Daphnia pulex: one gene and its partner. Each later gene encodes a partner of the first gene's protein in a complex. Links are inferred from orthologs where the notes say so. Each region holds a gene or a part of one and is shown on either strand. Other genes may lie near its edges. The genes, in order: general transcription factor IIF subunit 1-like and DNA-directed RNA polymerase II subunit RPB3-like.

The links.
Region 2: general transcription factor IIF subunit 1-like (region 1) and DNA-directed RNA polymerase II subunit RPB3-like share a complex: the UniProt entries of both Homo sapiens proteins name them as parts of the TBP-based Pol II pre-initiation complex. The link is inferred for Daphnia pulex from reciprocal best matches to the Homo sapiens genes GTF2F1 and POLR2C.

The regions. Positions count from the first base shown.
Region 1 is NC_060018.1:350,122-354,618, reverse strand, and holds general transcription factor IIF subunit 1-like, read left to right. Parts: upstream 1-1,423; 5' UTR 1,424-1,732; coding exon 1,733-1,750; intron 1,751-1,809; coding exon 1,810-1,845; intron 1,846-1,903; coding exon 1,904-1,977; intron 1,978-2,044; coding exon 2,045-2,322; intron 2,323-2,402; coding exon 2,403-2,702; intron 2,703-2,767; coding exon 2,768-3,014; intron 3,015-3,078; coding exon 3,079-3,338; intron 3,339-3,397; coding exon 3,398-3,473; intron 3,474-3,524; coding exon 3,525-3,725; intron 3,726-3,787; coding exon 3,788-3,995; 3' UTR 3,996-4,155; downstream 4,156-4,497. Other genes in the region: regulator of microtubule dynamics protein 1-like, read right to left, coding at 66-180, 245-382, 444-751, 811-959, 1,021-1,250, 1,314-1,396; uncharacterized protein LOC124188758, read right to left, coding at 4,286-4,423, 4,484-4,497. UniProt on the Homo sapiens protein: TFIIF is a general transcription initiation factor that binds to RNA polymerase II and helps to recruit it to the initiation complex in collaboration with TFIIB. It promotes transcription elongation.
Region 2 is NC_060024.1:10,723,560-10,727,067, reverse strand, and holds DNA-directed RNA polymerase II subunit RPB3-like, read left to right. Parts: upstream 1-1,477; 5' UTR 1,478-1,584; coding exon 1,585-1,670; intron 1,671-1,729; coding exon 1,730-2,076; intron 2,077-2,141; coding exon 2,142-2,204; intron 2,205-2,263; coding exon 2,264-2,410; intron 2,411-2,476; coding exon 2,477-2,658; 3' UTR 2,659-2,729; downstream 2,730-3,508. Other genes in the region: transmembrane protein 170A-like, read right to left, coding at 2,847-3,042, 3,105-3,210, 3,295-3,418. UniProt on the Homo sapiens protein: Core component of RNA polymerase II (Pol II), a DNA-dependent RNA polymerase which synthesizes mRNA precursors and many functional non-coding RNAs using the four ribonucleoside triphosphates as substrates.

The DNA of each region.
Region 1 (4,497 bases):
TATCAATGTAAAACCATTTTTATCAAACAATAAAATGTAGAAAAGGTTAATGCGTTATATGTCACCTCCAAATCTTCTGACGAGGCGATAGCATAATCTCGAGCTCTGGTCAAATAAGCGATAGCTTTTTCTTTATTGTTGAGCCGCAAATATGTTTTCCCCAGCATCAATAAATTCGTACTGAAACGAAACCATTCAAAATGCACAATTATTTAGAAAAATGAAAAATTAAACCAAGCCGTACCTGTAAAAATTCGGCTCAACTTCTTCCGCTCTTAGGAAATACTGCAGTGCCTCTTCGTAAGAAGATACGGGCGGTGTAGCAAACAAGGTTGAGGCAATTTGCCTCTGAAGCCACGGCAATTCAGCAACAGAAAAGCACCTAAAGTTGCACGAAAATGTGTTACGTTACATACAAAAGAAAAGTTGTTATCTTGTCATACCAGTAGCCTAGCAAATGAAATGAAGTTGCATCCTTTGGGTTGAGTTCACACGCTCTTTCTATGTGTTTCTTGACGACAAACGATTGAGAAATGCGCTCCTTTAAGCCCTCGTAGGACGCCTTTTTATCTAACAAAATAAACATCCACTTGTGAGCAGCAAAGTTTTCCGGATCAATGAGCAGCGCCCCTTCAACATAACCGTATGCTTCAAAATCTAATTCTTTTTGTTCAATTGGACTGGACGATAATTTCGCTACTTCATACGTCGCTCGTGCCAGTCGCCAAAGAATTTCGGCATTATCTTCGGCCTAAAAAAAGTTTTTCCAACATTAAAACAGAGACTGACAAATCAGTTTATTCTTATTACCTTGTAGGGCAACAGAAGACTTCTCAATTTGGTGTAGGAATGCTCATTGTACAAGACATCAGCTTCAGAAATAAGATTGGTCTTATTTTCTCTTTCTTCATCAACTTTTACACTAGCAGAGACTGCAGGTAACAAACCCAGCATCCATCCTGCAGATTAACAAGTTATTGATTGTTTTTGTTACATGAATTCAAAAATTAGGCAACTTACCAATGTTTCTTGAAACTAGAGCTGGTTTCTTAGGAACAACATTCAGGAATCTTTTCCTGTACACAACAAATGCATGGTAAACTATTCCATATATTTTTCTCCCAGAGAACGATAACACCATGACGAACGCTTTCCACAACAGAAAGAAAATAAATGACGAAAAACGAATTAGGCAGTTGAGAATAGATAGGTAATCTAATTCCATGGCGACCAAAATTGGAACTAACGAACTTCAATAGTTGAAAAATGAATAATCATTTACTTTACTTGTAATATTACTTAACAATTTAGACCTCTTTATAAAAAAACTTTTTGATTGGCCATTTTTGGATATTTTAATAAGGTAAGTGAGAAATAGCCTTTCACAATTTATCATGTGGTTCAAGGCGGGAAGTCGACAGTGCAGTCTCGACGTGAAAAGAAAAGAACTGAAGCAGACGAAAACTGAACTGGGTCGTCGTCGACTATTTTTCTTCAGTATCGGGTCGGGTATAAAATTCGTTGGCGCTGTTTAAAGTGTCCCAATATTTTTTGGCATAGAAATTTCGATCACCACCCCTTAATTTTGGCCTATAATTTAGTAACGTGCATAGTTGGGTTAGTTATTTACCATTCGTGACGAACTTGTGACGAACACATCGGTGGTGTGTCTCGATCATTGTGTCGCCGGTGAGAAGTTGTTTTGTCAATCGTTTTTCACCGTCACATCATAATGTCTGCTGTTAACAAGGTACAATTTTTTTGTCTTCTCAATCAGTTAATTCAATATTAATACATGTGTTTCTCAAGACTCCTACTGGTGGATCAACTCCTGCTGCTACCAGGGTAAAGACATTTTGGTTTTTAATTAATTAGTTCAACATAATAATATGTGTTACATTAGACTCCAGCTGCTGGTGGATCAGCTCCTGCCGCTGCTGCTTCTAATGTTCAGACTATTGACATTCGAGTCCCCAAGTAAGAATATCAGACATTACCATCTAGATTTTTGCCTTCTTAAACCGAGTTTATAATGTTGTCACAGGAACATAAACAAAAAGCTTGCCATCATGAGATTCAATGGCTCAATGGGTATTGACTTTGTACAATGGAAAGATCCAAAAATGGAAAGGGAAAACAACCAAGTCACATTCAAAGGGTTCAATGAAGATATGCCAAAGTTTGGTGCTGGGAGTGAATATGGCAGAGAGGCTCGTGAGGAAGCTAGACGGAAGAAGTATGGCATAATAAGCAAAAAGTATAATCCTGAAAACCAGCCTTGGATTTTACAACATGGGGGAAAAAGTGGGAAAAAGTTCAGAGGTATACTAAAGTTGGAAACCAAGCTAAGATAGCAATAAGAAAGTTTAGTAATGTGCAATTATATTTATTTTATTAAACAGGAGTAAGAGATGGTGGCATTAATGAAAATGCATCGTACTACGTTTTTACGCAAGCACCAGATGGTGTGTTTGATGCCTTTCCTGTGCAAGAACAATACAGTTTTCAAGCAGTTCAAAATTACAAACCACTGAGTATTGAAGAAGCAGAGGAAGGGTACAACATGAGGAACAAAACATACAACATGTTCAATGTCATGATGAGAAAGAGACTAAGGAAAGACGATGAAGACGCCGAAGAAGAGGGCGAGGAAGAAGGTGAAGGCAAAGGAAAGAAAGGCAAGAAAAAGAAGGGAGCTAAAGGTAGGCAACAAGCAAAAGTTCCACCATAAATAATGTCACAAAATTATAACAACTTTTGCATTCAGATTCTCGTTTTGGTGATGAATTGGACGATATGATGGCATCTTCCGATGACGATTCTAGCGACGGCAATGATGATAACGACGACGATGATGGAGAAAGTAAGAAAAAGAAGAAGAAAGGCAAGAAACCTGTTAAGCCGAAGAAGAAGCGAAAGAATGCGTCCGATGATGAAGCTATCGAAGATAGCGATGATGGTGATGGTGAAGGCAGAGAGTTGGATTACATTTCCTCTTCCGACGATGACGAAAGGTATGTCATTAATCTTGATGCATTTGTCGATTTTCTAACACACCCGCGTTGTTCTTTAATCTAGTGATTTCGAGAAAGAAGAAGCAAAGGACGGACTAAAGGGTGTTGCCGAAGAGGATGCTCTCCGCAAGTTGCTTAACTCGGACGAAGAAGATGAAGACGAAGAAAAGGAGGAAGAAGAAGACAAAGACAAAGAAGAGGAAGATGCTGAAGGTGCCGAAGACCAGCAAGGTGATAAGGCTTCCAAAGACGAAAAAGGCGACAAAAAGAAGAAGAAAGAAAAAAAGAAGAACAAGGATAAAAAGCCCCGCAACGAGGATTATGGTAATATCCATTTAAAAACATCGTGTGTTTGAGTCAAATAATAACGAAACATTTATCAGGATCGTCAAGCGACAGCGGTGCCGAGAGCTCAGCATCCGAACTGGAGAAAGCTAAACCGAGCCCAAAAATGAAACCGTAAGTGCAGTAATTTGGTTTCCTGACAGTTAACTGACAAACTATTTCTAGGGGGAGTGCCAACAGTTCTAGATCAGCTACTCCGACGAAACCTGAAACATCGCCGCCTAAAACAACGCTATCAGATAGCAAGCGAAAGGGAACACCTGCAGTGTCCGATGCTCTTACTGGCCAAGCAACAAAGAAACCTCGATTGGACATGGCATCCGCTGCTTCAGCTGCCTCTGCCGCTTCAGCTGCATCATCATCTAGGTATTTATAAATAATGAACTAAAATTAATCCTGAAACGTTATGTATATTTTTTCTTTTACAGTGCCAATGAAGGAGTCAATGAAGAGTCTGTTAGACGTTATTTATCCCGCAAGCCAATGACAACGACCGAATTGCTTCAGAAGTTCAAAAGCAAGAAAACTGGTTTGTCGTCGGACCAGCTTGTCCATCACATTGCACAAATTTTGAAGAAGATCAACCCCGTGAAGCAGACAATTAAAGGGAAGATGTATTTGTCGATTAAGGCTTAGCGACAATAACGATGATTGGTGTGTTCTGTTTGTGCTGCAATCACTATTGCTACTTTACTGAAATTATCTCAGGCCTTCCCTTTACGGTTTATAAAAACGGACTAGAACGGTTGTTAAAATGCGTGATTTTCGGAACGATTAAACAAATTTGCAGTTGTAAGTTTTGGTATTATTTCAACAAGTTATCTGTTATTGGAAACACTTCACATTTTTAGATGAAAAACAGCCATTGAACTGACAAGTTAACATTTCTTGGTGGTGAGCAAGGTGCTGGATATTCGTTCAGAATACTATAGAGAGAAAACTTGAAGTCGCTTTGACATGTCTGCTTCGTCGTCTGTGCAAGCCCTTTTCGCGTTTTCAATCAAGAATTCAATATCTTTCTGATAATCGGCGGAATATTCGGCGACACTTTCGACGGAGAATTTCTGGACTCGGAAAATAAACATTAAAAGTGTATCAAAAACTACAAACATAAAGTAACCTACATTAGCAGCTTCTT
Region 2 (3,508 bases), on another chromosome or scaffold:
CGTGTGTGTTTAGCATTTCCTTCGAGAAGCCCCCCAGGTAGACACCTATAAACTAAGTATATCGAATGGCAAGGATTTAGCAGCTCCTACTCTCTACCTTTGCCCCAATCGTCCCTCCTCAGCTCAGTCCTTAATATTACATGGCTTTTGACGCGTTTGATGACATAATCTTTGGTTTTTGTATTTTAAAAAGTCAAAGTTTACTGGTGTGTTGGGGGGGGGGGAATATACAGCGGGGGATGTACAATGTTCAAATTACTTTTGATCCCTCGACTCTGTTCGCTTTCCTTTTTTATTCTACGATGAAAATTGATCCCGTTTCGTAGATTTTGAATGATAATTTGAATTCAAAAACTGGACGGCAAGAAACGATATGATTACCTTCGAGTATTGGTTTCCTTCATTTTTCTTTTTCAAGTGAAAAAGAACCGACGTCGATGTGCATAATGCATACAATTTGCATACGGTATTGAAAAAAACAAACAGATACTCATTTGGTATAAATTTAGATTTTTCTTTCTTTTTTTTGAGAAAGAGAGATTGCGGAATTTTGCATTATCCTTACGTAACCTTGGGTTTTTTTAAATTTATGTACATGTCAAAAAATTTCTTTTTTTATGTTTCCTTATATTTCCCACACTTCCGGCTGTACACCACATTTTGATAAAAATAACTTTGGGTTCTCATCATTTAATTATTATGATATGCGTGTAGTTTTTATTTTTTCATTTTTTTTATTTTAATATCATTAGCTGTGTAATATTTCCGTGATGCCAAACATACAACTGTCATCTAGAATGAGATTTTTATTCGTTGATTGAAAAAAAAAAAATTCTTTCTAAACAGTTAACCGCGTTTAGCCAAAGTTTCTTCCAGATTGGGACCCGCGCAATTGGAATGTCGTAATATTGGGTGACGTGTCATCAGATCCTCAATCCATCATGGCGAACTTCCTGTACTTCCTTCGATACCGGTAACTTTTTGGACCTTGGATCGGACGATTCGTTTGACGCCATTTCGTCGCACCTGAACCGAAAAGAATTTCACAAGTTAAAAATCTGAAGAAAGCCAAGTTATGATATCTAAATATAAACAATAACTATTTCAACACTGTATTCAAAAAGTGAATTGCACTTCAAAATAAATATGAACAGTCTGGTGAGTCAATTTACGTTGGTTAAGCCGTTAAAAGCGGCGCACATTCTGATGCGCGATAGGAGAGGAAAACAAAACATGGTTTATATTTCCCAATATTTAGTCGAAACAATTTCTAAATAATGGAAACGGTGTATCGAATTCTTTCATCAAAAAATAAATCTACAAACCAATAATACGCAATCAACATCTTCAACATTAAACTTCCAAAATTTTAGAAAAAATTTCAATTTTTAGAAAAATGAAATTTTCCCGCACAGCCTTCGTAATACCTGCCATCTGGTGACAGAATAAGGAGGTTCTTGTACACGACTCATTGTTTGGGCTAGCTTGTTGCAGACTTGCAGAAGGAAGCGAGAGTCGAAACGAGAAGCCGGCAAGTAATTATTCTTAACGTTTGTTGTTTTGAATAATACAACTTACTTAAGAATGCCCTACGCCAATCAACCAAATCTCAAATTGACCGAACTAACAGAGGAAAATGTTAAATTTCAGATTTCAGACACAGACCTTAGGTATTTACTTAAATTGTTGGTAATGAGAACATTTATATCATGCCTTTATCACATTTCAGTGTAGCAAACTCTCTGAGGCGAGTCTTCATTGCTGAAACCCCTACATTAGCCATTGATTGGGTCCAGTTTGAAGCAAATTCCACTGTCTTGTTTGATGAATTTTTGGCACATCGTGTGGGTCTTATTCCACTGACTAGTGATGACTCTGTTGAAAAGATGCAGTATTCCAGAGACTGCACTTGTCCAGATTTCTGTGTTGATTGCTCAGTGGAGTTCACTTTGGATGTTAAATGTTCTGAGGATGTTACACGCAATGTCACCACTGCTGATCTAAAGAGTACTGATCCAAGAGTGGTTCCAGCTACCTCCAAACGGGATGAAGAGCCACCAGATGACAATGATAATGGTACTGCAGAACATTTCTAAAGTTTGGAATCTGAGTTTGATTATAAATTTTTTTGTTTGTTTTAGAAATTTTAATTGTCAAGCTTCGTAAAGGACAAGAACTCAAAATGCGGGCATATGCCAAGAAAGGTAAATTTTGTTGCAGTTCAATTTGTTTCTCCTTCTTGAAAATATATATTTTTTTTTAGGTTTTGGTAAAGAACATGCAAAATGGAATCCAACAGCTGGAGTGGCCTTTGAGTACGACCCTGATAATTCATTGAGGCATACTTTGTTCCCGAAACCTGAAGAATGGCCAAGGAGTGAATATTCGGAGCTGGGCGAATCAGATCAACGTAATTTTTAAACGAATTTTTATGGTTTAACTAGTTTTATTTGAATTTTTATTTATTTATTTTTAGATGAAGCCCCATACGATCCTGATGGCAAACCTAACAAATTTTTTGTTAACGTGGAATCTTGTGGATCTTTACGACCAGAAAATATTGTCTTAATGGGAATCGCTATTCTCAAGAAGAAACTTTCTGATTTGCAGACCCAATTGAGCCACGAAGTGCAAAACGATGCCCTCGCCATCAACTGATTTTCCATTTTGTTCGAAATAATTGTAATGGTTTTGTATTAATGCAATTAATACACGAAGAATTAAGTAAAGCCGAATATCATCAAACTTATTTAATTTGTCTTATAAGATCTCAGGTGGACATGGAGTAAAAAAGGAACTTATGTAGCACAGCAAAATATGGTGAATATGAAAAATACATTGGTGATCTATAATACTGCAAGAATTCTAGTGAAGCCAAAACAAGCACTGCAGAATGTTTGTCCCACACCCCAAAGTGCAACATGCCATCTAGCCATGACTAGTCCTGAGTTTTCATACACAAATGACACAACTGCGCTTGTCACTGCACCTGTTGTTAGAGGTGTGATAATTCCCATCAAAAGAATTATGATGGAGTAAAACCTATTGCCAAAAGATTATATTTAGTTGTAACAGAATATGTGGAATGCTTAGGTATATTTTACCTTCCAACTGCATGCTTCCTTAATGTCAGAAATGCAATTATGGCAGCAACGGAATGAATGAAGATGGAAGAAAACATTGCCCACAAGAAAACGTTGTACCACATTTCTAGATGTATTGGGCATTGAATATTTTTATTATAGGTAACATGTTTCCTCTAAATTTAATATGTGGGTGAAAAAAAAATAATACCAAAGAACTCTTCAAGAGGAGCATTTGGTTTGTTCCAGATTTTTTCGAGGATGAAATCCATGTTAGAACTAGTTGACTGCGAGCCATCAGCAGATATTGGTGTTTGAATCATAGTGAGCTGCATTTTGCTATGCAGTGTTATCGCTCAGAACGATATCTGTCGCAGTGTTGTAAATCAGTTTGCTAATAGCAAGATAAAGAATAATTGATGGAT